Saccharomyces cerevisiae S288C: one gene and its partners. The gene in region 3 interacts genetically with the main gene of each other region. Each region holds a gene or a part of one and is shown on either strand. Other genes may lie near its edges.

Region 1 (7,475 bases), on a different chromosome or scaffold from region 3:
GATCATAATAATGCTCGCAAGCGTCAGCATTCGTCATGCAAGGCTGAGAAGAAGAAAAAAGTACGACAAAATTTAAGTGAAGACACCACGGACCCTAAACCGATTACAGATAACGGCAAGAATGTACCTTTGGATGAAATAGAATCCCTAGAGATTCCAAATTTGGACCTTACCACCACAATGAATGGATATGACGTTAATTTACTAATGCAGAACTTGAATGATATGGTTAATATGAAACTTCATGACTCTTACTTATTGAATGAAGAACTGAAAGGATTAGATTTGCCCGATTTGGACATACCTGAACTTTTGCCCGCTTCGAATGTGAACAGTAGCGTACCAATATCCTTTCTGGTGAATAATGTAATAACTTTCAACACAAAACTAAGCTCGTTCAAACTAGGTGGAATCCACGATAAGTATCTAAAGATATTTTACTACGATTGCTTAGATTCTATTGCGCCCTTTTTCCAAAATCAAGGGAACCCGTTAAGAGATATCTTACTTTCATTTGCGAAAAACGAGGCCTATCTTTTATCTTCCATATTAGCTACGGGAGCATCTATAGCATATAGAAAGTCTAATAACTTGGAAGATGAACGAAACTATTGTGCTTATTTGTCACATTGCCTGAGCCTGTTGGGTGAACAATTCAAGAATGAGTCAAACGTTTTAAATAGGATAGAGCCTATCATCCTGACGGTCATCATGCTTGCATGGGATTGTATTTATTCAATGAATTCTCAATGGAGGTCTCACTTAAAAGGTGTAACTGACCTTTTTAAAAAAATCAATGCCGGGAATTCCTCCAAAGTACTTAACGTTGCAAAATGTTGGTTTAAAGTTATGGAAACATTCGCCAGTATAAGTACGGTATTTGGCGGATCTTTAATTGATAATAATGACCTTGATGCAATTTTTGATCCATATGATTACCAATATGTTGACTCGTTAAAATTTTTAAATATTATGACTCCACTAAATGAGTTTAATCTTTTAAGAGGACATAAAGAAGATTTCGATCTTGTTATTAAAGAAGTTTTCAAATCACTCAATACAATTAGGTCAACTGAAAAAAATTACTTTTCTAAAGAAGAAGGTTTGTTCACTAAGAAATTAGACTATCTGCTTTTATCATCCCAAACTTCGTCCGAAAAGTCCAAAGACCAGATATCATATTTCAATACGCAGAAAATTCTAGTGGAAATTGACAAGCAATTAGATTACGAATTTATTGACAAATCTGGAATTATACCCTCAGACAATCAGTCACACCCTAGAATTAGTAATATTCATGATAATGCCATCGATATGGTGACATTAAAGAACGGTGAAGAAGTTGCCATCAGCTGGTATGATATTTCTCATCAGACACAAGTTTTATCTTTCTTATTAATTGTATTATTAAAACTTTTAGGTATGCCAAAAGAGTCAAGTACCATTCAACAAGTGGTCAAGAAAATCATGTCTTTCTTCAAATTCTTAGACAGTGACTCGCCGCCACAAAATTCAAGGACTTGTTATAGTAATTTTGCTGTATTGATTGCAGGTTTGAATGCAATGGACGAGGAAACAAGAGCGATTGTTAAAAGATATTATAAAATCAATGGTGGAAAATTTCAAAAGCTCACAGAACATAATCTTAACAGACTGGAAAAGGTCTGGTATGGTAAAAATCAAAATTACAGGTTAGAAGAACAAGACGTTTTAACATGGTAGTTTGTCTGTTTACGTAATAATTTTGCCTGTAGATTGATATAAAATTGTGTACGGATAATTGCACTGGCACGTCAAAAGTCCGAGAACTATTTTTCTCGAGAATGCCGCGCAAAGCAGGCACCGTGCCTTTATCTTTCTTTTTTTTCCTCCAGCACTAAACCTTCCATAACAATACTATTAGAAAGGTTGTTATCAAATATTAAAATAACTATTAAAGTGATACAAATATATATATAGATGACGATGGGCATAAAAAAGCTCGTTTCTAATCATCAACTATACGTTTCTTGATCAAAATGCACTGAGCAAAATATTGTTATGAAAACATACTTGCTTGACGAAATGGATTAAATGGATCCATTAAATTAAAAAATGAGTCTAGAATTGCACTTTATGATAGAAAATAAAAATTCGACAAGAAATGGTGATAATTTAACGAACGAAAATATTGAAACGTCAGGAAAATAAAATAAAATATGATAAAAGTTGAAGATGGAGTAAAATAATCTTGTCAAATAATCAATAAAGACAGTTTTATCCATTTATAGGATTGGCTTGAAGTAGAAAATTCTTCAAAGATGATTGAAAGAAAGAAGAAAGTAGCACATAATTGACATGACGATTGGCTTATTCTTCAGACTTCTTAGACTTCTTAGATTTCTTGCTCTTCTTAGACTTCTTTTTCTTGTCCTTACTCAAGTTTGGTGTAGCAGCAGGTCTTGGACTAGCAACTGGAGCTTTTGGAGCCATCACTGCTTCGGCATCACTAGGTCCGAAATGGTAGCCCAATTTGTCAGCACCGAAGTGGTTAGCAATTGGAACCAATAAAGTTGGAATGAAACACATCAAAATAAGATCAATGATACCATAGAAAATACCGGCAGAGTCTGGCTGCAAAACGTTACCACCATCGGTAATACCGAAACAAGTTGGGTAAGCAATAATCCACAAGAACATAATAATGCTGAAGAAAACAAGGAATGTCAACCTGATATCGTTATCTCTTTGTTTCACCAAGTTGTAACTGGTGGTCATAACACTGATACTAACGACAATAGCAGCACCTAGACCGATGGTGTAGTAACCCCATTTGTAAGTGGAGTGAACACAGGCAGCGATCAACCAACAAACAGTGAAGAATTCAGTAATACAAACATTGAAAGCCATTTGCCAGAATGGGGTACCAGCTAGCATACAGATTTGAATAATTGGCCATGGCAAAGCTAAGAACCAACCAACGAATCTAGAGTAGAAGATTTGTCTGTAACCTGGATGTTCTTTTTGAGTAGAAGTTTGGACATGGTTGTACTTAGCCTTGACTGGAATCCAACCTAAGTTAGAAGCCATGGTGAAATAAGCGATACACATGAAAAAGTTTGGAGCAATACCGGTAAGGTAAAAGAATCTGTCATTGACTGGTTTTCTGAACATTAAGAATGTTAAAATTAAACCAAATAATAGGTAACAACAGAAACATGTCCAGAACCAATCGGAACCACGACTAGTGATGTGGAAATCCGCACCGGTTGGAGGGTTAATTTTGATGGCTTCGTTACCACCTCTTTTAATTAAAGTTTCAAAGGTAGACATTGTTATTTTTCTTCTTTGTTCTGTGGGTTAAAGGAAGATGATTAGATATTAAGTGAAATTAGGTATTAGTTAAAATTAAAGCAAAAAATTAATGTTAAAATAGGGTCAAAAAATTGGATGTAGAGAAAGAAAAAGTTATTGAAATAATAATATTTTTGTTCGAGGAAACTTTTTTTTTTTCTGAGTTTCTTTTATTATTCTTTTTCTTCGCAATGTTTCTTAACAATAAGGACAAAAGATAGTGACAACGATCTAAGAATTAAAATAAGCTTAATAATAAATAAAAAGAAGAACTTGAAAAGGGAAAAAGAAGAAATAACGAGAAGTGGGAAAGAAATAAGGATATATCTTAAGTTACCGAAAAAGACACTACTTATAAATGAAGAAACCAGGTGAAGAGATCCTTTGTTTTACGAAGACCGTATTTATACATTTCCCTTCATGTACATGTGTGATAAATTGGAAAACCACTTCTGGAATTAAACTGCTTTTTCTGACATCCTTGTGCAGTCGTTACTGCGATTATTTACATCTTTACTGATTCGTATGAGTGTTTATTTCCATTTTGCCTTTTTTGTCCAGGAAAACTAGAGATGCCGATTTTCGGTTAACAAAAAAAGTCCTGGTGAGGGAAAAAAAACGCTATTTTTTTTGCTCACCGCACTAAGAACTAGCCGGAGAAGACTAAGCTAGGAAAGGGATGGAACAGATGACGACGAAGAAGATTAAGTAAAAAAGGTAAAGGGAGACGAGATGGTGACAAGTATCTCTTTTTTTTATTGCCTTTTTCATATTACCTATTACCGCAAACTGATATATTTCTCAAAGGAGAAATAGTAAAGTGGAAGAGGTTTGGGTCTCTTGGTAACCGGACTACATTTGCAAGTTGCATCTTCCATCGAAGTATTAATTCCCTCCATCCTCTTCTCACTAACACCGGCACGATTTTAAAAATTTTTCAACTCCGTTGTTGAATTACGTATTCCTCTTTATGGTAAGCGCTAAGATGAACAGCGCTGAAAAGCAAAATTTGAATGCTTGAAATTCAGAACATGACTATTCGTTCAGTACTCGCTTCATTTGCATCCTTAGTTAATTTGGCCTGAATTACTTTTTGAATTCAAGAGATAGTGCATAAAATGCGGCCCCCCTTTCCAGCTTCCATAAATTGCGCTGATTGCATGTCTGACTAAGCTTTTTTTTTTTTTTAAGCGACCTTGTCTCGAGGAGCATAATAAAAAAAAGGGAGTAAGGTCGGCGGCAGTCGCTTTTATTAAACTGAAGTAAAACAGAACAAAAATTACTTAAGGGTCGCTAATATTACCCTTATCCTCTCAACAAAAGATAAGAAATTAATTGACCTATACCTATAATACCTAATAAACCCAAAAGTGTCTTGCTCTGATGTATTTGTTTTTTTTAACACAACCTTGCTACCTTAGGCCATCGAGAAGAGATTGAGGTCAAAGTGGAAGCGTTGGAAAAGAAGGAAGACCCATAGTATAATGAAGCTAGTTACCATCCTTAGACGACGCCCATATTTTTCAATTTCTCTTATTTTTTTTTTACGCAGCGTAGCAGTTATGGACAAAAGCCGGCCTGAAACAAGATTGAGATTAAATGAAAGGGCGTCTGCTTGTATATGAACTCAGTCGTCCACTCTTTTTAAAGTACTCTACTTATATAAAAAAAAAAGATAGGGATTTACAATGTTAATTATTACACGCAGCATCTAGCGTATGATTGTATGTCCCGAATGCCCCGTTATTACCCAATAAAGCAAATTAATACGGTCTTTTTATAAAGCTGTGCTTCTTTTTCGGGGTAGTTTTTCCGTGAAACCCGTAGATGGGAACAAGAAGAGCAAAAAACCCTTTTTTTTAAATAATCCGAGAGTTTGACAACTTGTAAAAAAAAGCGCAAATGTCGGCGCGCCAAGTTGAAAAGTCGCTCAGAGAAATGAGAGGTAATACCGCGTTCCCAAAACAAATAAACAAACAGAGCAGCCAATCTGCGTGGAAAGTAAACCAAAAAAGCAGAATCACTTGAATCAGGCGGTTTTCTTCGCTTACTCTATACGGAGCCTAAATGCAAAAAAATAGATATTTTGTACTATTCTAAATCGGAGGCCTTCTCTGTGTTCTCAATTTTTTGTAAAGGCATTGAAATATGAAAACAAAATTAGGTGTATGAGCATGAGCACATCGAAGTAATTTAGATTTCTTTATTAATTATGCATGTAGTACACATTACCGCTAACCTTACATCTGCATAAGATCTTGCATCTTCAATAAAAACTCTTTCGCCTTGACTGGAGCATTCAAAATTAAGCGCCTTTTGCTCGCTTCGCAGATTTCTACAATTGAGATAGCATTGCTGTGAGCGCCCTTGCGTGAATCTATATCGTGAAAGAGAAGATATTATGACAAAAAATTGAATGATTTTGCGGGGCCATACCAAAATCCTTTCATGAAACAAGAGTTATTCTTTTAAAAGAAAGCGAACTATGCTATTTATCTTTACGTGTTACATCCAAAATCATTGCCGTAATTTTGTAGGAAGCGCAAAGTGTGTGATTAAAGCATTTGCTATTCTTTTAATTTCCCTTTCCTCTTTTGTTTTGTTTTTTTATATTTTTGCCTATATTCTTCTTTTTCTTTTTCTGTCTTGGGACGAAAGACAACAAAAAAAACCACCAGTAGCAAGAAATAAAAGAAGAGCCACTTAAATCGAGATAATATCTAAATACAACTTTTTATCATGGCAAGAAGAAGGAATATTTCTTGCAAAAACGTGAAAAGGAGTATACTACATAATCGTTGGACTGTCATACTCCGGATGTAGTTTTTACTATTTTGATTATCAGTAATATATCTCCTTTTAAATGATAATTATATATATATATATATATATGTACTACTAATAATGACAGTGTGACCTGGGTGGTTCGAAACATCTAGCGTAACTTAATAGTTATTGGCTGCCACCTCTTTGGCCTTGGAAACAGAGGGACTCATGCGTTTTGATGAGTGTCCAACTTATTAAGGTGCGTGCGCCTGGCTTGTTTCCCTGGATAACATTATGGACTTAAATCGTTTTACTTGTGGCTTTTGCGACGCTGACTGATTCATTATTAATTTTTCCTATTGCCGCTCATTGCGATCGCTTACCCGTCTCTTGACTGTCTTAGTAAAAAATTAATAATTCTGCGGGGCTGCACCTGCGCAGTGTATTGGCAAGCCTTGGCTTCGTTAGCAACCCCTTTCCCACAATTGAGTACAGTTACTCTCTGGACAACAATAAAATATATATAAACGTCAACGAGCGGCAAAACGATCAATGCATTTGGCCTTATTCTTTTTACTGTTTTTCTCATATAATTAAATATCGTCGAATAATATATTCAATAAATCATCACCACTCTCTAGTTAAAAGAATCCAATTATATACAATGCCAAGAGTAGCTATCATCATTTACACACTATATGGTCACGTTGCTGCCACCGCAGAGGCAGAAAAGAAGGGAATTGAAGCCGCTGGAGGCTCTGCAGACATTTATCAAGTCGAGGAAACGTTGTCTCCAGAAGTTGTTAAGGCGCTTGGCGGTGCTCCAAAGCCAGATTACCCAATTGCCACTCAAGATACGTTGACAGAATATGATGCCTTTTTGTTTGGTATTCCAACTAGATTTGGTAACTTCCCTGCTCAATGGAAGGCTTTCTGGGACCGTACCGGTGGGTTGTGGGCTAAGGGTGCTTTGCATGGTAAGGTCGCTGGTTGTTTCGTCTCCACCGGAACTGGTGGTGGTAATGAAGCCACAATTATGAACTCTTTGTCTACTTTGGCTCATCACGGTATCATTTTTGTCCCATTGGGTTACAAGAATGTTTTCGCTGAATTGACCAATATGGATGAAGTTCACGGTGGTTCACCATGGGGTGCGGGTACCATTGCAGGCAGTGACGGTTCAAGATCTCCTTCCGCCTTGGAATTACAAGTACACGAAATTCAAGGCAAGACTTTCTACGAAACCGTTGCAAAGTTTTGAAATAATTTGAAGTATTACTTCTCCTACCTATGGAAATGAATGATCCTTTACCGAAAATTATTCTGTGATGAAAAAAGGACTGCCCGTCAGGTATACCTAAGTATCTTTAGAAAAT
Region 2 (9,313 bases), on a different chromosome or scaffold from region 3:
ATGGAACCAATGCCCTGAGTTTTTGCAGTTTTATATATCAATACCAGAGGATTTCTTGATGCCTTGGAGGCCTTATCAATCAGCTGCAGCCTTGTTTTGGCAAACTCAAAAGGATATGTTATACATGCTTCAGCAGCACCGGCTAGGGACCCTGCCAGAAACGAGTGCAATGGATCTACGTCACTTTTGGTAGCTTTACTGGACATCGGTAAAATGCTAATTTATAATTCAAGCTCTACTTTGGAGTTCTTTCATTGTGACATCAAAATGTTTTTAATTTTACGTTGGCTTCGACATTTTACGTTTTATATATCACGCTAAAGTGAGACTAAATTTCATTGTTCTTCTTTTTTTTTTTTTTCACTTCTAATAATTGAAAATTCCGCAGGAATTCTTCCATATTCTTGACTCTTCAGTAAGACTAACTTAATGGAAATAGAGAAAATAGTACATATTTGAAAAAAAAAAAAGAGGTGTTGAAATGATTTGAGAATATTAAATAGCTTACAAGCGTTAGCCGAGTTCCCAGACAGCAGAGTTTCTACCCTGTGCTCTTTGTTGGCGGCTTTATTGATGAGGAATATAAAAATGTAATTAGGCAAACCTACGCGCGAAAATATAAGAAGCAAAGATATAAAGTGTAGTATATTTGAATATTTACATGAACGAAACGGCGACGTATAATGGTAATCGGCTGGGAACTTCATTAAAAAGTCAAGATGTAAGTTACCTCTTAGTAAGAAGAGTTATTGCAGCAAGCTTAGTATCAATAGGGAGACTCTGTCATGTAAAAAAATAAATGAACACAATCATAACCTCTTCGACTGGGCTATTCGTTGTATAGTATATGTGGTGGAGTGTAATGAATGAAGTTCTCAGAAGCTTGAAAGCATATCAAAATCACGTATTGACTATGACAGATTCTTGTTTCTTGCTCCATTACTCCATTCGAGTTTTTCACAACTTTTGTCGTTCGTCTATAACATCTCTTTTTTTTCCCACTCTTCTAAAATATTGGCATAGCTGACATGTTTGGAACCGAATAAGCAATTACAATACGACAGTAAAATAAAAGCATGTTATTGCTGCTTGTAGAGAATTCCTGCATATGTAACTTTCTCATTCCGACGGGATAAGTTCATAAACTAATCAGCGATGAGTTGCGGAAAATTCGTCAATAGAATATTTTCCAGTCAGTGGTGGTCCCAGTGGCCTGCAACCTAATGGCTATAGTTCTGGATAATAAATTGGGCAAAGGTCAGTATAAAGAATGAATGTATCAGGCCGTAATTGAAGCTTTCAAGTCCAGGTGAAAGGCCAAATCGACAATTAGCGAAAACAGGATTTTTTTACCAACTTGAAATAGTGACTGCTGTCTTTTTGCCTGATTAAGTGGTTATATATTTCAACTAATATCACAACAAAAGGCCTCTCAAAATTTGTGGCGAAGTGTACATCCTGGGTGCTCAGGTAAGCGTCGTCTTCGTATTTTTTTTTTTTCAACAGTAGTTTGGAAATAATGCTCTTCGAGGAATGCGAGCGGAAATGTTATCCACTGTATAAGTCGATATTTTAAGGGACGCTAAATATATCATCATAGCTCGTCTATTGGTGGCTTCTCCAATTGCACTTTCAATGCATTATGGTAAAGTGTGGTGATAAGGCATAGTGATGTTTACAGAGGTCTGTTGGTTTCTCTGGGCTCGCTCATCATCCGACCAGTAACCTTGTGGGGTTTCACATATTGTTCTATGCATTATTATCACGGATTTGTGCCTGCAAATGCTGTTTCTTTGGCTTTTCTTTCTAAAAAAATTATGATATATATATTGTTCCTCCTTGTTTAACAGGCTTTACGGTATTGTGGATCCTAGTAATAGGCGTACTTTTCTTCATTTACATATTTGAACAATATATGTCTCACAAGTAGTTGACCGAATAGCGTTACGTAAGGGTCAAAAACCTTTTCAGAATTGTATATATGACATTTTTAGAACATGATATAATAAACAGAATATAAAAGAAAATAGAGACGACGTACCATGGCATGAAGAATTGTACTGATATCACATTGTGTTGAGCACTGATAGATTAATACTATATTTCTGCTAGGTGCGGGGGGTAACATGTCCTAATGTGTGGCAACCACATTCTAAGGCTCGGTAAGTGATGCGATATATGTGCATGTGTGGCTTTCTTCCTAATTTGCTATTAGATGATTGTGTGCAAATCCACAGAAATATACAATTTCGAGAATATATATACTAGTTATCGTTATAAGAACACACAGTATTGGCCAATTCTTGCCTCTGAATGGTACAAAATGCTTTAAAATGTAGTAAATGAAACATTAATTCCAAATCAGATTTTTTTTCGCAATGCTTAAATCTAGTAAACACAAAGTACTACCGAAAAGCAAGGATGGAAACTATGGCAGTATTGAAGAGACTGAAATTCCTTCTGTCGACTACAGTGAAGACTTAGATGAGGACTTGGACAAAGGCGAAGATATAGCGCTTTCAAGAATCCCAAATTGATGGATTATTGAAGCTACTCTTTTTTCTAATGTCTTTTTGTCCGGTTTTGACGGAACCGTTACAGCTTCGACGTACCAAACGATTGGTAACGAATTTAATCAGATGAGTATTTCAAATTGGATCACCACTGCGTATTTAATTACATCAACATCTTTTCAACCTCTTTATGGGTCATTTTCTGATGCACTTGGTCGAAGAAACTGCCTTTTCTTTGCTAATGGGGCTTTTACCATTGGATGTCTAGCCTGTGGTTTCTCGAAAAACATCTACATGCTTAGTTTTATGAGAGCATTGACAGGCATAGGAGGTGGTGGCTTGATCACACTTTCTACAATCGTAAATTCAGACGTTATTCCAAGTTCGAAAAGAGGAATTTTTCAAGCGTTTCAGAATTTACTTTTGGGATTTGGTGCCATATGTGGAGCGTCTTTCGGTGGCACAATAGCGTCGAGCATTGGTTGGAGGTGGTGTTTTCTCATCCAAGTACCCATATCTGTGATTAGTTCCATATTAATGAATTATTATGTACCTAATCAGAAAGAATATAATCGTCAAAATTCTAGCATATTCCAAAATCCCGGAAAAATACTCAGGGACATAGATGTTATGGGCTCAATTCTTATTATAACTGGTCTCACACTACAGCTTCTTTACCTGAGCCTGGGGTGTTCTACTTCTAAATTATCATGGACCAGCCCTTCTGTGCTACTGCTATTAGTTGGGAGTGTAATAATCCTCTTACTGTTCATATTGCACGAAAGGAAAACAAGTGCTAGAGCGATTATTCCTATGGAGCTGGTCAATTCCTCCTACAGTGTCGTTGTACTTTCGATAAGTATACTTGTTGGTTTTGCCAGCTACGCGTATCTTTTTACTTTACCATTATTCTTTCAGATTGTACTTGGAGATTCCACTGCAAAAGCAGGATTACGTCTTACGATTCCTTCCCTATTTACTCCGGTAGGCAGTCTCATAACAGGATTTTCCATGAGCAAGTACAACTGTCTAAGATTATTACTCTACATTGGTATTTCTTTGATGTTTTTGGGTAACTTTTTATTCCTGTTTATTGAAAAAACTTCTCCGAACTGGTTGATTGGTCTATTTTTGATACCTGCAAATCTAGGACAAGGTATCACTTTTCCTACGACCTTGTTTACTTTCATATTTATGTTCTCTAAGAGTGACCAAGCTACTGCGACATCAACTTTATATTTATTCCGTAGTATTGGATCTGTATGGGGTGTTGCAATTTCAGCTGGCGTCATTCAATTATCTTTCGCAGGTTTATTGCGTAGTAATTTGAAAGGTCTACTGGATGAAAACAAGATAAAGAAACTTATTGTTCAGCTTAGTGCAAACTCCTCATATATTGGATCTTTACATGGCGAAGTTAAAAACACAGTCATAAAGAGTTTTGATGAGGCAACAAAGAGGGCTCATCTAATGTCTACATTACTCTCTTCATTGGCCCTGATACTCTGCATCCTTAAAGACAATCTGGCGAAACCTAAAACAAGAAGATAAACAATATATACCTATGCCCTTGACCGACTCAATTGATACATTAACAGTATTGAAACTAGATATTCTACTTGACACTAAACTTTTTTTGTATTTCGTGGAATTGCAACGTTTCTAATTGACCGACAGTGCTGAACTGTGAGCGAATGCAACTATCTCTATAGTTTTTTTATCCTCTGTAAACTTTAACTAAATACATACTACTTTCATAATCTGTGAATAAGATGTGGCTGTGATAACCTAAAATAGTCACAAACCAATGAAAAAAGGCTTCAGAAAACTTGCTGTAAAGTCCCCCCACTTTTTTGTGTTACCGCCACCTCGAGTGCACTTTTTTTAATAAAGATCTCGTGTAATTGTCCAAATCTGACTTTTTCTTATAGTCTCGCTGGAACCACAGTGCGGCTTTGCAATTTTGCAAATCGGAATTTGAGTCACAGATCCCAGAAAAACTCCACACCTTCCCCACGCAGCAAGCGATAACGAACAAGTTGTCAAATTAGACCCATAATAATTTTGAACACTTCTACCTGTTCATGTCTTTTCTCGAACACTGTCATTTGAAATTATGCACTGTGAAAAAAAGAAACAAAGACCAAAAGAATAATATAAATAGTGAAGTAAAATGTGTTGTAATGCACATGGATCTTGTACTGCTCAAACTTAATATTTCTATTGTAGAAAAATTTTCGATTTAAAATTGTGAAACCGATTATATAAAAGTATATTAGCTGACATTAACGTCTCAAAACCAGGTCAATAGCTTTAAAAATAAAAATAAATCCCTGCAGAATACTCGGAAAGAATATGTCACGTAAGAGCTCGACTGAATATGTGCATAATCAGGAGGATGCTGATATCGAAGTATTTGAATCAGAATACCGCACATATAGGGAATCTGAGGCGGCAGAAAACAGAGACGGACTTCACAATGGTGATGAGGAAAATTGGAAGGTTAATAGTAGTAAGCAGAAATTTGGGGTAACGAAAAATGAGCTATCAGATGTCCTGTACGATTCCATTCCAGCGTATGAAGAGAGCACAGTCACTTTGAAGGAGTACTATGATCATTCTATCAAAAACAATCTAACTGCGAAATCGGCAGGAAGTTACCTCGTATCTCTTTTTCCTATTATAAAATGGTTTCCTCATTATAACTTTACGTGGGGCTATGCTGATTTAGTGGCAGGAATTACAGTTGGCTGCGTACTCGTGCCCCAATCTATGTCATACGCACAAATCGCTAGTTTATCTCCTGAATATGGTTTGTATTCCTCCTTTATTGGTGCGTTTATATATTCTTTGTTTGCCACATCGAAAGATGTTTGTATTGGTCCGGTCGCTGTAATGTCACTACAAACTGCCAAAGTCATTGCTGAAGTTCTAAAAAAATATCCCGAAGACCAGACAGAAGTTACAGCTCCTATCATTGCAACTACCCTTTGTTTGCTTTGTGGGATTGTCGCCACTGGGTTGGGTATACTGCGTTTAGGCTTTTTAGTGGAACTTATTTCTCTAAATGCTGTTGCTGGCTTCATGACCGGTTCCGCATTTAACATCATCTGGGGTCAAATTCCGGCTCTCATGGGATACAACTCATTAGTGAATACCAGAGAAGCAACGTATAAGGTTGTAATTAACACTCTGAAACATTTACCAAACACAAAGTTAGACGCCGTTTTTGGCTTGATTCCGTTGGTAATCCTCTATGTATGGAAATGGTGGTGTGGTACATTTGGTATAACTTTGGCAGATAGATATTATCGAAATCAACCAAAGGTAGCAAATAGACTGAAATCCTTCTATTTCTATGCACAAGCTATGAGAAATGCCGTCGTCATAGTAGTTTTTACTGCCATATCGTGGAGCATAACAAGAAACAAATCTTCAAAAGACCGTCCAATCAGTATTCTGGGTACAGTTCCCTCGGGCTTAAATGAGGTGGGAGTTATGAAAATCCCAGACGGTCTGCTATCTAATATGAGTTCAGAAATACCTGCTTCAATTATCGTTCTGGTGTTAGAACACATCGCTATTTCAAAATCCTTTGGTAGAATTAACGACTACAAGGTTGTCCCTGACCAAGAACTTATTGCGATTGGTGTGACAAATTTGATAGGGACATTTTTTCACTCATATCCAGCAACTGGGTCATTTTCCAGATCTGCTTTGAAAGCAAAATGTAACGTGCGCACTCCGTTTTCTGGGGTATTCACTGGCGGTTGCGTTCTATTAGCACTTTATTGTTTAACTGACGCCTTCTTTTTCATTCCTAAAGCGACACTATCGGCGGTTATTATTCATGCTGTTTCTGATTTGCTGACTTCTTACAAAACCACCTGGACCTTCTGGAAGACCAACCCGTTAGATTGTATCTCATTTATCGTTACAGTGTTCATCACAGTATTTTCATCCATTGAAAATGGTATATATTTTGCAATGTGTTGGTCATGTGCAATGTTACTATTGAAACAGGCTTTCCCTGCTGGTAAATTCCTTGGTCGTGTTGAGGTGGCAGAAGTATTGAACCCAACAGTACAAGAGGATATTGATGCTGTGATATCATCTAATGAATTACCTAATGAACTGAATAAACAGGTTAAGTCTACTGTTGAGGTTTTACCAGCCCCAGAGTATAAGTTTAGCGTAAAGTGGGTTCCGTTCGATCATGGATACTCAAGAGAATTGAATATCAATACCACAGTTCGGCCTCCTCCACCAGGTGTCATAGTCTATCGTTTGGGTGATAGCTTTACTTACGTGAACTGCTCAAGGCATTATGACATTATATTTGATCGTATTAAGGAAGAAACAAGGCGAGGCCAACTTATAACCTTAAGGAAAAAGTCAGACCGTCCATGGAATGATCCTGGTGAATGGAAAATGCCAGATTCTTTGAAATCACTATTTAAATTTAAACGTCATTCAGCAACAACGAATAGTGACCTACCGATATCGAATGGAAGCAGTAACGGAGAAACATATGAAAAGCCGCTACTGAAAGTCGTCTGCCTGGATTTTTCCCAAGTTGCTCAAGTGGATTCAACCGCTGTTCAAAGCCTGGTTGATCTGAGAAAAGCTGTGAATAGGTATGCGGATAGACAAGTCGAATTCCATTTTGCCGGAATTATATCTCCATGGATCAAAAGAAGTCTTTTGAGTGTTAAATTCGGAACTACAAATGAGGAATATAGTGACGACTCTATTATCGCTGGCCATTCTAGTTTTCACGTTGCAAAAGTTTTGAAGGATGATGTGGATTATACTGATGAAGACAGCCGTATAAGCACATCTTACAGTAACTATGAAACATTATGTGCTGCAACTGGGACAAATTTACCGTTTTTTCATATCGATATACCCGATTTTTCTAAATGGGACGTTTAGTGTAGTAGATAGTAAGTACTTTAATTACCCCCCCTGTTTTTAGTTATACATGAAAAGATAATTGTGTTATTAATGTAGATTACCATCAAATAGCTGGAATATTTATTATTTTGAGTATGTTGAATGGCGAAAGTAAAAATAAATTTTATAATTTCCTGAAAGCATTAGTACACGAAAAGGGCCGTTTTCAGTAGTTTAAGGCGCTGAAAAGACATGGTCTAGAAGTTAACTTGAGCTTGAGCCTATTTTCTACAAATGTCCTTTGAAAATACAAAAATAAAAATAAAAATGCATTTAAGTATTAAGCTTATGCTAGATAGAGCAACATTTTCCTAATTTTTTTTGAATTTATTTCATGGTTTTTAGGCGGAAAGAGTTTGGACGGCTTGTCTCTCCTAATGTGGAAGAAATTATGTTTTGTTATGAATCTGAAAAGAAAAATACTATTTTAGCAATACAATGAATTTTAAAAAGTTACCCTGTACTTTAATCCTTCAATTAAAACACTTCTTAAAATAGTATATTTTGAAGATCATCGATATATATACAGAGGCAGTTTTGCAAGGCAGATAACGTTATTGAGTTGTATGTAGGCTGTGTGATTTTAATCTCATAAATCAATAATGGAATAATTTTCTTATTGTTAATATCGATTTATATTTTCCAACAATACAATGAAGTAAGTACTATTTCTATTTGGAAGGAATTCATTCCCCATTTTAGCTCCTCGAGCGGATGAATCCATCACTGTTTTGAAGAAAACCAACAAAGTGTCAAATAGTTGTCTTTTTGAAATTGGTTCTGAAGAGTTTTCGGAAAATGATCTGATAACAGGCCTTTCTAAAAATATAAGGTTGAACGAATGTATGGGTTAGGTAATCAAAATTTAGGCGCCAACAAGGAATTTTTCTTTAAAATCGCATGAAAAGCCTACACTTGGCATAAATAAGGTGCAATTATAAATATAAAAGCAAGATATTTTCGAGATGCTTCCAGGATTTATACAATGAAAGAGCCCAAAGCTGCTGATAACGATGAAGCCGGAAAAACTCTTCTCCGGTTTAGGTACCAGCGATGGCGAGTATGGAGTGGTAAATAGCGAGAACATATCAATAGATGCTATGCAAGATAATAGAGGCGAGTGTCATCGTAGATCCATAGAAATGCATGCTAATGACAATCTGGGATTGGTCTCCCAGCGAGACTGTACCAATCGGCCCAAAATTACTCCTCAGGAATGTTTGAGTGAGACTGAGCAGATATGCCATCATGGCGAGAATAGGACTAAGGCTGGGTTAGATGTAGACGATGCTGAAACCGGTGGTGATCACACCAATGAATCCCGTGTAGATGAATGTTGTGCTGAGAAAGTGAACGACACTGAGACTGGCTTGGATGTGGACAGCTGTTGCGGCGATGCTCAAACAGGTGGTGACCACACCAATGAATCCTGTGTTGATGGATGCTGCGTTAGAGATTCTTCAGTGATGGTCGAGGAAGTTACAGGCAGCTGCGAAGCTGTATCTTCTAAAGAACAATTGCTGACCAGCTTTGAAGTTGTTCCAAGCAAATCTGAAGGTCTGCAATCTATTCATGATATTAGAGAGACAACTCGCTGCAATACCAATTCCAACCAACACACAGGGAAGGGTAGGCTTTGCATCGAATCAAGTGACTCTACACTCAAGAAAAGAAGTTGTAAAGTTAGCAGACAGAAAATTGAGGTTTCCAGTAAGCCTGAGTGCTGCAACATTTCATGTGTTGAGCGGATTGCATCTCGTAGCTGTGAAAAGAGGACTTTTAAAGGTAGCACCAATGTTGGAATTTCTGGGAGTAGCTCTACCGACAGTTTAAGCGAGAAGTTC
Region 3 (7,932 bases):
TACAGCGAAGGAGGTCTAACTGCTTCCCAGAAGTCACAGGAAAATAAACTTTTTTTTTTTATTTTCCGCTTTTTTCATAAACTTCTTTCACACTTTCCGCTTTTCCATACTTGGTAAATGCACATAATGCTATTGTAATATACAACCATGATTTCACTTCCCCTGGCGCAACAGTATGTTGTTAGCTATGATACAAAAATTTTTTAAGGCCATTTGAAAGCATCAATTTCTCAGAACACACTTCATCTACTGCAAAAGAAGACTTTCGAAGAAAAGTACAAATTGCGACGAACTACTTTCATAGTAACAAAATGAACAGTGACATTGAAAAGCAGAGAATGTTGAACATAGGCTAATTTTACGTTCTCACAGCCTGGCTAGCACCTAGAAACGACGCATGCTGCCATGTTAGTAGTCAAACAAAATTGAAGTGAGGCTCAAAATAGTTTGAATGAACACAACAAAACATTGGATAAGCTGTCATGCTACATTAGCAATACAAAAACCCGCACCCCGTAGTCACGTTCGCCTTCGCAGCTTTTTAAAAATGGCAAAGAGTCTGACTTATGCTCTGTTGACATTTAAGAGATACAATGAATCGATCCAACAATTATTAGCCATCAGTACTTCTCTTTTGTGAGGTAGGGCGACAAGAAAACGCACAAACTAGAGAAGATATTTATGCATTTTTCGGTATATCAGATAAAAGTTGGTAGTGCTCGAGCTTTTCTTTCTATACCAATAAATGCTGCAAAATATTATAATCTAATTAGTACTGAAGTAACTCTAGCAAAGCACAGGTGACAAAATTTGTGCTGGTGATTGTTGGTACTGCTATCGCCAGAATAGTCGAGATGTTTGCATGTATCGACTGCTATGCGCGTAAGAAATTGGAATTTTGTATGGATAACTATGGCCGACCACTGCACCTAGCAACAGTGAAGAACTCGTTTATCGAGAGACGAGTGTCGAGATAACAGATATGACAATTAGATTATGTAGCCGAAACCATATATTAGAGCCAGTAGTTGTTTGATCATAGCTTGATTTTCATTAATTATCAGTCCTCTTCCGTGTAGTGCCTTTTTTCTTCTGCAAGCGAACTTTTTACAGATGGAAGTTCGATAACAGAGGAAAAAGGCGAAAGGTGGTTACTTGAAACATGGTGTATCTTAAAAACCGCTCGAAATTATAGAGGTGAAATTACAAGTTACTTGCGGTTCGATAAGCAAACGCATTTACGCTTATACTTTGGAGCCACATTTCACTATGAACGCCACATTATATTAATCCCACCGCGATTTGAAAACGGTTATCAGTAAAGTTGGCCTAATGCTTACGAAATATGAGCTATCTTTTTTGCTTCGTAAAAAAAATGGAGCCCAGGCCTCCGTGACTCATAAAGGGCAGTGTATATAAATAATAAAAGCTCTTCAATAAGAAAGGGTGATATTATGACTTAGGGTTAGCCAATCACTTTTCGAGGCTACCTCTAGTTAACCACAATGGCGAAACACATTGTTGCTGCCCTTCAAATCGGCTCTTGTCCGGGCTCTACTAAGGATACCTTGAAAAAAATTTTGTCATATGAGAAGGAGATCAAGGAATCTGGTGCCAAGTTGGTCGTTATCCCAGAAGCCACTCTTGGTGGTTATCCAAAGGGATCGAACTTTGGGGTTTATCTAGGCTACCGTCTTCAAGAAGGAAGGGAGGAGTATGCTAAGTATCTTGCCGAAGCAATTGAGATCGGAAACGGAGAGAAATATCCAGAAATTAGTCAGTTGTGCGCACTATCGAAGGCCACCGACGCATCCTTATGTGTGGGGTGTATAGAGCGCGATGGGACGACATTATATTGTACCATGGTTTATATAGATCCTAAAGATGGCTACGTTGGGAAGCATCGAAAACTGATGCCGACAGCTGGCGAAAGACTGATATGGGGTCAAGGCGATGGTTCGACTCTGCCTGTCGTGGATACCGCTGCTGGGAAGATTGGCGGTGCTATCTGCTGGGAGAACATGATGCCTCTACTGAGATACGCCATGTATAAAAAAGGGGTTGAGATCTGGTGTGCCCCAACGGTGGATGCTAGGCCTATTTAGAGGACTGTGATGAAAAATATTGCATACGAAGGTCGTCTATTCTTGATTAGTGCAGTGCAGTTCATGCCAGATGCGACAGCAATGGGCTTTGGGGAGATTATTGACCAAGCTACAGGTAAGAGAAAATTACCTGGATGGCCATCTGCTGACGACAACTGTATTAATGGAGGTAGTGTTATTATTGATCCTTATGGAGAGATTATTGCAGGGCCATTGCTAGGGCAGGAGGGCCTTTTAACCGCCGAAATTAACACTGACTTGATTGCTGAAGCTCGCTTTGATCTTGACCCTGTCGGACATTATGCTAGGGGAGATGTCTTCCAGTTGACTGTCAATGAAAGGTCACACGATGTCAAGTTTACGAAATGAATACCGCATAAATCCATTAACTAGGCTTTCATGAATGGTGGCTCGAAAATATTCGTTAATATCAATATGTCTGTTATATAATGTTTTATGTACAAGAGATAATGTAGATCTGTAATATTCAATCAAATAGGCATTTGTTTGAAATCCATACGTCTCTAAGATATAATCCAAGCCATGATTTTGAAATCAGGATCGCAAACCTGATCATTTAATTTTTACCTTTTTTTAAAATATAAATTAACATTTATTAATAAATAGGTGTATTTGAGAAGTTTCATTTTCGTTCAACAGCCCAGTTATCATCATTTCACAAACAAGAAGGAGATATTAGCATTTTCTCCCGGATCCGATTAACACAGTTTTTTTGTTTAATCCGGTGTGAAGAAGATTTATAAATGTCGTGATATTTTTTAATGTGGAGATTGTACGATGACGGGTAGGAGTCAAGACAAGCTAAAGAATGCAGCCTTAATAATTGCGCCTTTCACAATCAAAATTATGCATTGACCCGATACAAGAATCACCGTGTGGATCAAGCCATTCTTACCAAGCTTACTTTTGCCGTCGCCAAGGCTGTTTGTAGTCATTCTCTGAACTTTTTTCCTTGGCATTCGGCTCGACGCAGAGAATTTCGGATCGATATAATCCCGAAATAGTCCGTTTCTCGGATAATTGTGCCGAAATGCATCATATTACAACGTACTATCTTGAATTGCTAGCATTCTCGTAAGAAAGAAAAACCTCGAGCAAATAGGCTACATTTGCTGCTGCACCCCTTTACAGCACAAAGTCGTTGCAGCTAGCTCCTTAAAATAAGGACCCTGCAGTCATGTGGCATATATAATAGTTGGCGAAGCTTGAAGCCTCACTTAGAGGTTGACGCCTCACTTGAGGTTTCAACATATACTGATGGTTTCATTTCAACAGCCTATGGGTCAATTGGGAATAACTATCAATGCTACCAATTTGTCACACTTTATTGCCTAATAGGTTTGGCGCTTACTATCAAATACATGACGTATTCCCTGCGCTAGGTTCGTCTTCTACTGAATCATTTAGTATAAAAAGGCAGCGTTCAATTGTTGATTATTGAAATTATTTATTGTACAAACAATTAATAAAAAATTCAATCAACAAACAAAGTTTCATCTATGTCCGTACAAAAAGAAGAATACGATATTGTAGAAAAGGCCCAATTATCTGTGTCCGCAGAAAGCTTAACATCAGATTCGGAGAGTATTTCACATAACCCATTTGACGATTTTCATAAAGCAGAGCGTTGGAGAAAAGTCTATGAATCCAGTGGTTATGAAGGCTTGTCTAAATTCGATCCTGAGTTTACATGGACAAAGGATGAGGAAAAGAAATTGGTAAGAAAAATGGACTTGAAGATTTTTTTGTGGGTTTTTATTATGTTTGCCTTTTTGGATTTAATAAGGAAAAATATTGCAAGGGCAGTTTCAGACAACTTCATTGTTGACTTGAAAATGAACACGAACGACTACAACCTTGGCCAAACTGTTTATCTAGTTATATTTCTAGCAAGTGAACTACCCGGCAATCTGCTGTCCAAAAGATTTGGTCCAGAAAGGGTCATTCCGGTTCAAATTGTGTTGTGGAGTGTAATTTGTATTACTCAAGCTGGTCTGAAAAATCGAGGTCAATTTATTGCTACTAGATGCTTATTAGGAATGGTACAGGGCGGGTTCATCCCGGACAATATTCTATACTTGTCATATTATTATACTGGAGCTGAGCTCACATTCCGCCTAAGTTTCTTTTGGTGTGCTATACCTCTTTTCCAAATTTTAGGCTCTCTTTTAGCTTCCGGAATCATAGAGATGAGGGGTATTCATAACTTAGCTGGCTGGCAGTACCTATTTATAATTGAAGGGTTTCTGTCCCTTTCTGTTGGCGTGGCATCCTTTTATTTAATGCGTAGAGGACCTACGCAAACTGGTGAGTCTGCATTTCACAAAGGAAAATCGTTATTCACTGAGTATGAGGAGAAAATTATGGTTAACAGAATTTTAAGGGATGACCCATCAAAGGGTGACATGAGTAACCGACAACCAGTTACCTTCAAGGAGATTTTGTACACTCTAACAGAATTTGATCTATGGCCATTGTTTATCCAAGGTATTACAGCATTCATATCTCTTCAAACAGTTGGTTCCTATTTATCTTTGATATTAAAGAGTTTAAATTACTCTACATTTCTTTCGAACATTTTAGCAATTCCAGGCCAAGCCCTGCTGCTAATAAATTTACCATTAGCGGCACTATTATCGCGTAAATTGAAAGAAAAATCACTTTGTGTGGGAATTGCCAACGTTTGGGTGCTCCCTTTCATAGTTTCTCTGGTCGCTTTACCGACTGACACAAACCCCTGGATCAAGTATATATTACTAACCGGTATACTTGGTCTTCCCTATACACATTCCATTCTTGCTGGTTGGGTCTCCGAGATTTCAAATTCGGTAAGATCGCGTACAGTGGGCACAGCGTTATACAATATGAGTGCCCAAGTTGGAGCAATCATTGCTTCTAACATGTATAGAAATGATGATAAACCTTACTATACTAGAGGTAACAAAATACTTCTAGGATTCACTTGCTTCAACATTTGTATGGCTGTTGCTACTAAGTTTTACTATATTAGTAGGAATAAATACAAGGACCGCAAATGGAACTCTATGACAAAAGAAGAGCAGATCAATTACTTGGACACAACTAAAGATAAGGGAATGAAGCGTCTTGATTATAGGTTTATTCACTAGATTAAGTTTTCGTGTATTAAAATTTTTGCTGTTAGAGTAATGCTACACGCAAAAGCGAGAAGTCATACATCAAAAAAAATTATTACACCAGAGCAACAAAAGGTTAATGCAAAAACTTTTTTTTTTCGAGTTTTTAAGGTAAAGGTCATGGGATGTTATTGCTTTTTAGTAGTTTTGCACTGCTATACCACAAAAGCAGGTGACAGCAATTGTGTGTTCACGGAAACAAAAAAAAGTTTTTGAACATAATAACACCAAAATCTTCGGTAATTGATATCAAAATACAATGACCAATTGTAAATATTCCTCTGAACCAGCCTAATGCTTCTCAAATAATCCCCAAGCACACAAATATTCTATGTAGGAGCTCACAGGTCAACGCGCTAAGCTACCGATGTTACCTTACATTCATAAGGTGTCATCTGTTTATGCTGTTTGCAGATAACCTTCATTTGTGATCTCTTGCAACTTTCTTATCTCAAGATTTCACAATATTCCGCGTGAATCGTAGAATTAATTTCTACATTCATATGTAAATAAAATTTTCTTTACTACTCTCCGAATTATACTAGTTAATTCTTTCTTCTACATATTAGTAATATCAATATACACTCTTTTTTATTGATTTTTTTATAAATTATTATGGCATAGCATAGCTTCAGCGTTACTATCCGCTTAACATTTCTCATCTACCAAGCTACTTGCAGGAGCTTCATCCTAGGTGCTTAATTGCTTTAATACTGTAGTATCAGTAGATTGAATTTCCAGACCACCATCCAATAAAAAGACTAGAACGAAAAAAAATGAAACACATCTTAATAAGTCCGAACGTACATAGATAGATCGCGATCCATTTCTATTGCTCTAAGATCGCGTGTGTATTTGAAAATTATGATACGTTTAATGTGCTCGACGCTTTCACCAAGTCTTCATACGTCATACATGATCCACCGCATGCGATTATAATAACGATATCATCCTCATATATTTTTTGTTCCAGAATGTCTTCAAGAATCTCTGGATGATAACATAAATGTAAGGATGCTCCACAGGCTGGTTCCACTATAAAATTGTAGTCATCGGCATATCTCAAGCATGTTGCCAGAACGTCTTGATCTGATAAAACTACAGACTTACATCCATACTTGTTAAAACTCTCAAACGCGAATGATGCTATGTATGGGGAGGCCAAAGAAGTTGCAACACTTGTCAATTTTTCAAGAGTAACTGGACTACCTTTTTTGAGAGACTTATTCAATACGTCACAACCGGCAGTTTCTACAGCAACGACCGGAATTTTTTCAGCAAGCTGATTCCTATCTAGGCCTTTAATTATGCCACTAAATAGCCCACCACCACCAACACTACAAACCAAAGCTTTCACCCTAGGTAAGGATATATCATTTTCCTTCAATTGTTCTATGATTTCATCCACAATCGTAGAATGACCTTCCCAAATTGTCTCGTTATCAAACGGGTGCACATATAGTGTCTTCGAACCATGTTGGCTTTCTTGCGCCATTCATTCGTGCCTCAAGTATTCATCTGCTTCCCCCCAATGATCACCATGGATAATGACTTTGGCTCCTGCACTTTGAATTTTCTTTACCATTCTAGGTTTTGTAGTTTTAGGAACCACTACACTGCAATTAAGTGCCATCGATCTGCAGGCAGTTGCTGCTGCTAAACCAGCATTTCCCCCAGAGCTAGAAAATACAGCAAGCTTCCCAGAACCCTCGCTTAGCGCTTCTTCATTACTCTTCCTTATCAAATGCCCGATTCCTCTCGATTTGAAACTTCCACCTGGTTGTAACATCTCATGCTTAACGTAAAACCACGAATTTGTCTTACCATTGTTCAAAAATTGACGAATCAAAGGTGTCTTTTCATAGTAAGTCATTTCCATGGTAACTTCTTCCTTAAACCTTGAATAATTTATTATATTGATCTCGGACTATGAGCCTTTGTTGTTAACTGTTACGTTATAATAAACTTCTATAAATGTAATTTTTTCAAAATGTCTTCATGACTATATATGAATTCTTTCCGGCTAATATACTACGCTTAGTAATCTTCCACTTTTATCTAGCATCATTTCCAGTTTCGAAATTATGTAATTTTTCCATATTCTAACTACGATAAGGACATTGCCGTTTAGCCCAATGGGGAAATACTACAAGAGGCTAACAGCGTTCGATAATGTTCAAAGAAAGAACCTGATATCTTATGCTGTACGAGCTTTCTTAATACCATATATACTACGCTATGCAATGTCAAGAATTTGAGGATATGATTCCGCCCAAACGATGACGATTTGATTTGAATTACCGTTATGGGTGTGTCAAGGTGAATGGCATGTACGGTATTTGTAAACTAATGCTATATATATATATATATAAAGAATGTAAATAAGGTAGGGCATCATTCGTTTAATAGTTGACTGTTAATATTTTGAAGGTATGCCAACCGTAAACCAAGAAAACGGGGATATCTGTAGTTTTATGTGGCAAGGTCTGTGAAGAATCAGTTACAGTCTAGGATGTACAGCATGCACTAAAGTCAAGACGTACTGCTTTTCTCATAGTTCTGTGATGGGCAAGGGTCCAAAAATAGGAGCTAGCCCAAGACCGTCAAAAGGTTCTTTGTGTTGAAAGCAATATAGGTGGAAGCTCGAGATA
Region 4 (8,950 bases), on a different chromosome or scaffold from region 3:
TCTAACGGCGTACTTAGCCTTCAAGACATTTTCATTTACGTCTTCCAAAGTCAATTGTTCGGCGGGATAAAACTCGTTATTCGAAGTTTTCAACGTGTGGTGTGGAAAGCGATTCAAATGACGCAGGTCGTTTAGCGAAGATTGACCAGATAATGAACGTCTATGATTTTGAGCAACAATCCAGGAAGAGCTATGTCTCTGTAGGACGGGTCTAACTTTCCTGAAAGCTTTTAACTTTGTACTACTGGCTGAGGTAGAAAAAGGAGTAGTGATATGTGGCATTTTTTCTGCGCTTGAAGTGAGAGTCCTTATATGATATGACTTAATAACGTGAGTTATAGAATTACTCACTGTGAAGTGATTTTTGGCAGACAGTGATAACATCGTGGAGAGAGCAAAATAAAGACTGGGGAAATATATTTATATGCGTTCAATTGAGAAGCAGAAACAATTAAATGCGGGGGAGAAACAAAGAAGCTGGTCCTGTTCTCGAGCAACGTGTGACTAGTATGAACAACTAGAGTAAAATAGCGAGAAAGCAGTAGTAGTAACGGAAGAGCTTTTCCTAGTATGGTCCGCGGGTCACGATCGTTTACAAAGGGCGCAGCAAACTCTAAATACGTCAACCACAGCAGGTCAGAAGAGTACGTGAAGTTGTCTCAACGAAAGGTCGAAAATCGTTAGGCTTGGACCCCTTCAGAATGAAAAAAAAAAAAGACGCAAGAGTGAAAAAAAAACCAGTACTGTAAAAGCAGAAAACGTCTAATGGGAAGTGCTACTATGTAAGATTATATCATGAATGTGCTGTGTATTATATATGGATTATATAGCCACGAATATGCGGTAAATAAACATATGCATATATGTGTGTGGGGCAGCGCTCTGCTGTGCAATCCTTGTTTCTTTGTTTCTTGGGTCGGGATTTGAGTAGCGACGAGCCATCCTCTGCAGAAGGGAAGAAGAAAGAAAGGCAGAGAGGCAAAGAAAGAGTCAGGCTTATCTTATCTTAAGAGATATGCCGCTTGGACCCAAAAGAAAGGGAAAAGTAAGTACGCAGGTGTAGTTTTGAATGAGTGGCAGTGATAGAGGAGACCGGTTATACGATGTGTTGGGGGTGACGAGAGATGCGACCGTGCAAGAGATTAAAACTGCTTACAGAAAGCTTGCCCTGAAACATCATCCGGACAAGTATGTGGATCAAGACTCAAAGGAGGTAAATGAAATCAAATTCAAAGAGATCACTGCCGCTTACGAGATCTTGAGCGATCCGGAGAAGAAATCACATTACGACTTGTATGGTGATGATAATGGTGCCGCTAGCAGCGGTGGCGCTAATGGCTTTGGAGATGAAGATTTTATGAACTTCTTTAACAATTTCTTCAATAATGGAAGTCACGATGGAAATAATTTCCCTGGCGAGTATGATGCGTACGAAGAGGGCAACTCTACAAGCTCTAAGGATATCGATATCGATATATCTCTTACTTTGAAGGATTTGTACATGGGCAAGAAGCTGAAGTTTGATTTAAAGAGACAGGTCATCTGTATAAAGTGCCACGGTTCTGGCTGGAAACCAAAGAGGAAAATTCACGTTACACACGATGTGGAATGTGAATCATGCGCTGGAAAGGGTTCAAAGGAACGTCTGAAGAGGTTTGGTCCCGGTTTGGTAGCTTCGCAATGGGTGGTCTGTGAGAAATGTAATGGTAAGGGGAAGTACACTAAAAGACCCAAGAATCCAAAGAACTTTTGCCCCGATTGCGCAGGCTTGGGGCTCCTGTCAAAGAAGGAAATCATCACAGTGAACGTGGCTCCGGGACACCACTTTAACGACGTAATTACAGTCAAGGGGATGGCGGACGAGGAAATCGATAAGACCACATGTGGTGATTTAAAGTTCCATCTCACTGAAAAACAAGAAAACTTGGAGCAGAAGCAAATCTTTTTGAAGAACTTTGACGACGGCGCCGGGGAAGATTTGTATACAAGCATTACCATATCGTTAAGCGAGGCCTTGACGGGATTTGAGAAATTTTTGACAAAAACCTTCGACGACAGGTTACTAACATTGAGCGTTAAACCTGGCAGAGTAGTAAGACCTGGTGACACCATCAAAATCGCCAATGAAGGTTGGCCCATTTTAGATAACCCTCATGGCCGGTGCGGCGATCTGTATGTTTTCGTTCATATTGAATTTCCACCAGATAACTGGTTCAATGAAAAATCAGAACTACTAGCAATAAAAACGAATCTGCCGTCATCTTCATCTTGTGCCTCACATGCGACTGTAAATACTGAAGATGACAGCAACCTGACTAACAACGAAACTATATCAAATTTCCGGATCATTCACACGGACGATCTTCCAGAAGGGATAAGGCCGTTCAAGCCAGAAGCACAGGATTCAGCGCATCAGAAAGCAAGAAGTTCGTACTGCTGTATCCAATGATGGCATCAATAACTTTTTATTCTATTTTTTTTTTTTTTTCATAAGTTATCCTACCTGTATATATGTATATATATGAAATTCATTTACTGAATGCGGTGAAGAATGAAGTCTTTCGCACCTTCAGTAGAAAAATAGGAAGAATCCCCATCGCGGCGGACATAAAGCAAGCATACAAAGGCCTTCTATCAGAACAGCGATTGCGAACTTGGAGCAACAATGGCGTCCCAGGTTAACGCCTTATTACTGCCGGTCATAGAGTCTACGCCGCTTCATCAAATAACCAAGGTAGCATTGACGACCACACTCACAAGTAAACAAAGCGATTACAAGTTCAAAGAAATAGCCGTGCCGTTAACAAAATCACTACAACTGTACGAGAAGGCGCAAAGAAGACAAGATTTAAGGGCAAGCTTAAAAGCACTGGAGAGTATCATTTACCAAACGCACTTCCAATGGAATAACCCGCTCCCACGACATGCGCATCTCTTCCAAAAACACTACCACTTTCTACTGACTCACTGGCCATTTGAGAACCACAGAGACTTGGTAGATTCCATCGCTGTAAACAATGGGAAACTAAATTCAACGTCTTCAAGGAGCGTCTGGCTGAAGGCGGATTGGATAACACTGTTTAACGTTAAAAACCCTTGGGTCCAAACGCCGCCATCGTTAATGCGTCTGAGTGGGACAGATCTTGATACCTTCACACCAGAGAGGATATTCCTGATAAATTCTCTTGGAAACCACTACAAATTTTTAATAGCGAACAGTCATCTAAGCTACAATCACAAAAAATACCCCTCCCCTGGCGTGCAAATTCCTGTCAGGAACGCTCTTGGCGAAGTTTCTCCGGCCAAACAAATTGCCCAACTTTTCGCAAGACAGCTGTCTCATATTTACAAGAGCCTCTTCATAGAAAACCCCCCGCTCTCTCCTGAGAACGAGCTGGCATTGACTGCCGTCTTCTATGACGAGACTGTAGAGCGACGCCTTAGAAGGCTCTATATGCGAGCTTGTGCAAGGGCATATACGACTACTAATGCCGACTCCACCACGGAGCCTTTGATGTTTCATTGCACCCGGTGGGAAGTTGATTAGTTGTTGTTGGCTGTTATACTGGAGTAAATGTCACGTGCCACTGTGGCCGTGTCAGGTCACGTGAAGAGAGAAATTCGGCCACAGTTGTGGTCCTAAACAAGGACTGAAAAAGATCGCAGAAACTAGCAACGTCGGATAGCGGTATGGTTGAACCAAAGTCCAGTTTTTAGTCATAGCCGGTTGAGGGATGATCTGCCGTTCAGTGTTCTGCGTTCAATAATACGCATATATATATATATCAAGGTATCAACACAATACTTGAACAGGTTAGGCTCGTACTAAAGCCTGGAAGTTTTTATCTTTCTGTAACATTTTTCTTTCTTGAGGTGTGTGTGTGTATAGATTAGCAGGGAATTATCTAAGATATGTCCAGGGAAGGTTATCCAAACTTTGAAGAGGTAGAAATTCCTGACTTTCAGGAAACTAACAACACCGTTCCAGATCTTGATGATTTAGAATTAGAGTATGACCAATATAAAAATAATGAAAATAATGACACGTTTAATGATAAGGACTTAGAGAGCAATTCTGTAGCAAAGCACAACGCAGTGAACAGCTCAAAGGGCGTAAAAGGCTCGAAGATTGACTACTTTAATCCTTCAGATGTCTCGTTGTATGACAATTCCGTTTCCCAATTTGAAGAAACAACGGTATCGCTAAAAGAGTACTATGACCACAGTATACGATCTCATCTCACGGTGAAAGGAGCATGTAGTTATCTTAAGAGTGTTTTTCCCATCATCAACTGGCTACCACATTACAATTTTAGCTGGTTTACTGCGGATCTTATTGCAGGAATTACCATTGGCTGTGTTCTCGTGCCGCAATCCATGTCATATGCACAAGTCGCCACGCTACCAGCGCAGTATGGGTTGTACTCCTCGTTTATTGGTGCTTACTCCTACTCTTTTTTCGCTACATCAAAAGATGTTTGTATTGGGCCCGTGGCTGTCATGTCTTTGCAGACCGCCAAAGTCATTGCGGATGTCACGGCAAAATATCCTGATGGAGATTCTGCCATAACTGGTCCCGTTATTGCAACGACTCTAGCGTTACTATGTGGTATCATTTCGGCAGCAGTTGGCTTCTTGCGTCTAGGGTTTCTTGTCGAACTGATTTCCTTAAATGCAGTCGCTGGATTTATGACTGGATCCGCGTTTAATATCTTATGGGGTCAAGTTCCAGCACTAATGGGTTACAATAGTTTGGTTAACACGAGAGCTGCCACCTATAAAGTGGTCATAGAGACCTTGAAACATTTACCAGATACCAAACTGGACGCAGTTTTTGGGCTAATCCCGCTTTTCCTTCTTTATGTTTGGAAATGGTGGTGCGGAACATATGGACCAAGGTTGAACGATAGATACAACTCCAAAAACCCAAGGTTACACAAAATTATCAAATGGACATATTTTTACGCTCAGGCTTCCAGAAATGGTATCATTATTATTGTATTCACTTGTATTGGTTGGGCAATCACAAGAGGCAAATCTAAATCGGAGAGGCCCATCAGCATCCTAGGCTCAGTTCCATCCGGTTTGAAAGAAGTCGGGGTTTTCCATGTTCCACCAGGATTAATGTCTAAGCTTGGTCCAAATTTGCCTGCATCCATTATTGTGTTATTGTTGGAGCATATCGCTATTTCGAAGTCTTTTGGTAGAATCAACGACTATAAAGTCGTCCCCGACCAAGAATTGATTGCTATTGGTGTCTCGAACCTTTTAGGTACTTTCTTCAATGCTTACCCAGCGACTGGTTCCTTTTCAAGGTCTGCTTTGAAGGCTAAATGTAATGTCCGTACGCCGTTATCTGGTTTGTTTTCGGGTTCATGTGTTCTTTTAGCATTATATTGTTTGACCGGCGCATTCTTTTACATTCCAAAGGCTACCTTATCTGCAGTTATCATTCACGCTGTATCTGATCTTTTGGCCTCTTATCAAACTACCTGGAATTTCTGGAAGATGAATCCATTGGACTTCATCTGTTTCATTGTCACCGTCCTAATAACGGTATTTGCCTCTATTGAAGATGGTATTTATTTTGCCATGTGCTGGTCATGTGCAATGCTCATTTTAAAAGTGGCTTTCCCAGCGGGAAAATTCTTGGGTCGTGTGGAAGTCGCTGAAGTTACTGATGCTTACGTCAGACCGGACTCCGATGTGGTTAGCTACGTGTCTGAAAATAACAATGGTATTTCCACTTTAGAAGATGGTGGTGAGGATGACAAGGAAAGTTCCACCAAATACGTCACAAATTCCTCCAAGAAAATAGAAACAAACGTTCAAACAAAGGGCTTTGATTCTCCATCTTCTTCGATTAGCCAGCCAAGGATAAAATACCATACTAAATGGATACCGTTTGATCATAAATACACAAGAGAATTGAACCCGGACGTTCAGATTCTCCCCCCACCAGACGGTGTTCTTGTTTATAGGCTATCAGAGAGCTACACCTATCTCAACTGTTCCAGACACTACAACATCATAACCGAAGAAGTTAAAAAAGTTACCAGACGTGGTCAATTAATTCGCCACAGAAAAAAATCTGACCGTCCATGGAATGATCCTGGTCCATGGGAAGCACCTGCTTTCTTAAAGAATTTGAAATTCTGGAAGAAAAGGGAGAACGACCCTGAATCCATGGAAAACGCGCCCAGCACCTCAGTCGATGTTGAAAGAGATGACAGGCCATTGCTGAAAATACTATGCTTAGACTTCTCACAAGTGGCACAGACAGACGCTACGGCTCTTCAATCATTGGTTGATTTGAGAAAGGCCATAAATCAATATGCAGATAGGCAAGTTGAATTCCACTTTGTGGGTATCATTTCACCATGGGTGAAGAGAGGTTTAATTAGCAGAGGATTTGGTACTCTGAACGAAGAATACAGTGATGAATCCATTGTTGCCGGTCATACAAGTTATCACGTCGCCAGAGTACCTCAAGGCGAAGAAAATCCTGAAAAATATAGCGTTTATACCGCTTCAGGAACAAATCTACCTTTCTTCCATATCGATATCCCAGATTTTGCTAAATGGGATATCTAGCCAATGCATTTACAATGGACATGCAAACATTTATATCATCTCTTTTTTTCTATATTCCTAAACCAAAAAGTTTTCCCCCTTAAAAGTATACATTTAATATCATAATGAGATAGACACTGTTTATATAATAAGAAATAATAGGTAGGATGGTGCCATCGTGAGCATATACATACCTATAAATATTTACCTTATTTTTATTTTATTTTTCTCTTCCTCTCAGGAACAAAAGAAATACAACCGTTATTAATGTTATTGTCGTGGGACAGCTCCCCTTTTTTTTTATTTACTTACCACAGATAGAAAAACATGAAAGCAGCACTTACAAATAGTATAATAGTGAAAGTTAATAACGTAATATTTTTGACCTTCTGCCACCACATTATTTCTTTTATATTGACCGCTTTGCGCCTAAATTTATTACTGCTGCTATTTAGTTGGGAAGTTTTATCCACCAATAAAGAAACTCTTTCTTGTCTCTCCAAGAACTTGTCGATGTTATCGTTCATTATCTGGATGACGTCCTTTATTTGGTCTTCGGTGGCATCCCCGATGTCACTTATAGTGTTCTGACCATTCCCATTACTAGATTGGCCATTTCCAGAACTATTTAAAGTTTGGTTACGGTATTCGACCAGCTCTTCATGGAAAGAGTCTAGTATTTGACCTACATGCGAACTTAAAAGTTCGTTTGTAGCGTTGGACTCGTATTCCTGCAGCCCACTTAGTATCCTGATGGGCAAAATCTTGGGCATATCTACTAATGTGAAGCAAACGTACACAGTTTTGGGGTCATGGTCATCCGTGGAGTAGAAACAATCGAATCCGTCGATGAGATTCATTGACATCTTGGTAACTTTGTTCCCCTTGATCGGAACTACTTTGGGTAATACCATATCCATGATCAAATTATGGAAAATGACCGGCGTTATCTGCTCGTTTGCTGAAGTTATTGTACCATAGTTTTCGTTTTTCTGGAACGGCTGGAAACAACTAGATATTGTTTCACCATTTTTTATAACTTCCACATAACTTACTAAGACCATATGCAAAATCAAGCAAAATGGAACGTTAGTCTACTGAATGTAACATAGTAAAATTATGGCATGGGGGGATGAGCATTCGCATAATCCCTTTTTTAAACATTTGTTAATTGTGTAGAAATATTTATACATACCATTAAAGCGTTTCATTTGGTAAAAATATAAAAGTCCAATGCTCTAACAGCTTAATAAATTGTCGCTTTTCACTCTGTTCTTCAAATTTAATAGCTGTTGCTCCAACTTAGTCAAGTGCTAGAAAATTCATAGAGGGGCTTTTTTTCATCATTATTGTGACCTCATTTTTTCTTTCTTCGATCGTTTGAGGCGAATATTACCCGGGCGCTTGGTGGTAATGCGTTGTTTTAAATATTATATATAATGAATGTGGTGGTAGAATATATAGTTTACTATTTTTAGATAATGCAAATGGGTGGGGTGAAGGCGATGAAAAGGTGGGGGGTCTATCAGAGAAACCTGCTGTCACACCAGCCCTTTACGACATATTGAATCTCTCTCGTAGGTGCGGAAGTCTTATTGGTGACTTTGCCTAAATTTAGTTTTCCGCATGGTTTGAGCATTGTGCCGCCATTGTTGAACCATGGCTTGACGTCTGAGTGTACGCGGACCAAAGAACTTTTCAAATCCGCCGTTGCATGTTCGCTTGCGGATTCACGGCCTTGCGAAGGTTCCGTATTGCTTGTCGTTGCAACAAAGTGCAAATTCCAGGGGGTAGAATCGCCAAAAAGATCATTTCTTGTTTCATGGACCATGTCAGACCATAATTTTTTCCTAGTAATTAGGGCAAGCTTAATATCGTTCGTAGAGACATTTGGCTCCTTTTTGATTTCCAAAGACCGAATTTCGGAATACGTTAGCTGCTTCAACAGATGGTCATCTACTTCGACTTCGGGTAAAATACTCTTCCTTTTACATGATGTTTCAATAGAGTATAACTTTAGGAAATTGGTATTCAAACTTTTTTGTCTTATTCTTTTATTGGGCAAGAGCTCGCTAGATGCAATCGAACCGTCGGTCTCGGGCGATGGTGATGCAGATGGCCATTGTTCTAATTCTACCAGGTCATTTTCGTAAATCATGTTTTCTGTAGTCGATTTGCTCCTACTCTTCCTTCTTGAAGTCTTGCCGCCTTTCTTGTCGATGATTTGGAAGTCCACAGAGGTCGGACGAAGTTTGGCATCGGACGACGCAGAAACCAGTGAAAGGGCAGAGGACGATCGCGGACGCCGTTCGTATACGGGAGGAAAGATATCGACTAAATCCTTAACCTCCCAGTCGTCGAACAAATCGAGATCATT

What was found.
Region 1: mutations in SOA1 (region 3) and MRH1 together harm fitness more than expected from each alone (negative genetic interaction), as found in Saccharomyces cerevisiae (2 studies listed by BioGRID).
Region 2: mutations in SOA1 (region 3) and SUL1 impair growth when combined (synthetic growth defect), as found in Saccharomyces cerevisiae (one study listed by BioGRID).
Region 4: mutations in SOA1 (region 3) and SUL2 impair growth when combined (synthetic growth defect), as found in Saccharomyces cerevisiae (one study listed by BioGRID).

Annotation. Positions count from the first base shown.
Region 1 is NC_001136.10:503,984-511,458, reverse strand, and holds MRH1 (Mrh1p), read right to left. Parts: upstream 3,313-7,475; coding exon 2,350-3,312; downstream 1-2,349. Other genes in the region: LYS14 (Lys14p), read left to right, coding at 1-1,722; PST2 (flavodoxin-like fold family protein), read left to right, coding at 6,764-7,360.
Region 2 is NC_001134.8:784,367-793,679, forward strand, and holds SUL1 (sulfate permease), read left to right. Parts: upstream 1-4,868; coding exon 4,869-7,448; downstream 7,449-9,313. Other genes in the region: CTP1 (Ctp1p), read right to left, coding at 1-206; YBR292C (uncharacterized protein), read right to left, coding at 336-707; VBA2 (Vba2p), read left to right, coding at 2,640-4,064; cation-transporting P-type ATPase PCA1, read left to right, coding at 8,483-9,313. UniProt on the Saccharomyces cerevisiae protein: High affinity uptake of sulfate into the cell.
Region 3 is NC_001141.2:28,260-36,191, reverse strand, and holds SOA1 (Soa1p), read left to right. Parts: upstream 1-3,625; coding exon 3,626-5,254; downstream 5,255-7,932. Other genes in the region: NIT1 (Nit1p), read left to right, coding at 1,506-2,105; YIL165C (uncharacterized protein), read left to right, coding at 2,115-2,474.
Region 4 is NC_001144.5:319,632-328,581, forward strand, and holds SUL2 (sulfate permease), read left to right. Parts: upstream 1-3,912; coding exon 3,913-6,594; downstream 6,595-8,950. Other genes in the region: alanine transaminase ALT1, read right to left, coding at 1-384; XDJ1 (Xdj1p), read left to right, coding at 1,070-2,449; GEP5 (Gep5p), read left to right, coding at 2,666-3,547; NYV1 (Nyv1p), read right to left, coding at 6,882-7,627, 7,769-7,784; GIS3 (Gis3p), read right to left, coding at 8,099-8,950. UniProt on the Saccharomyces cerevisiae protein: High affinity uptake of sulfate into the cell.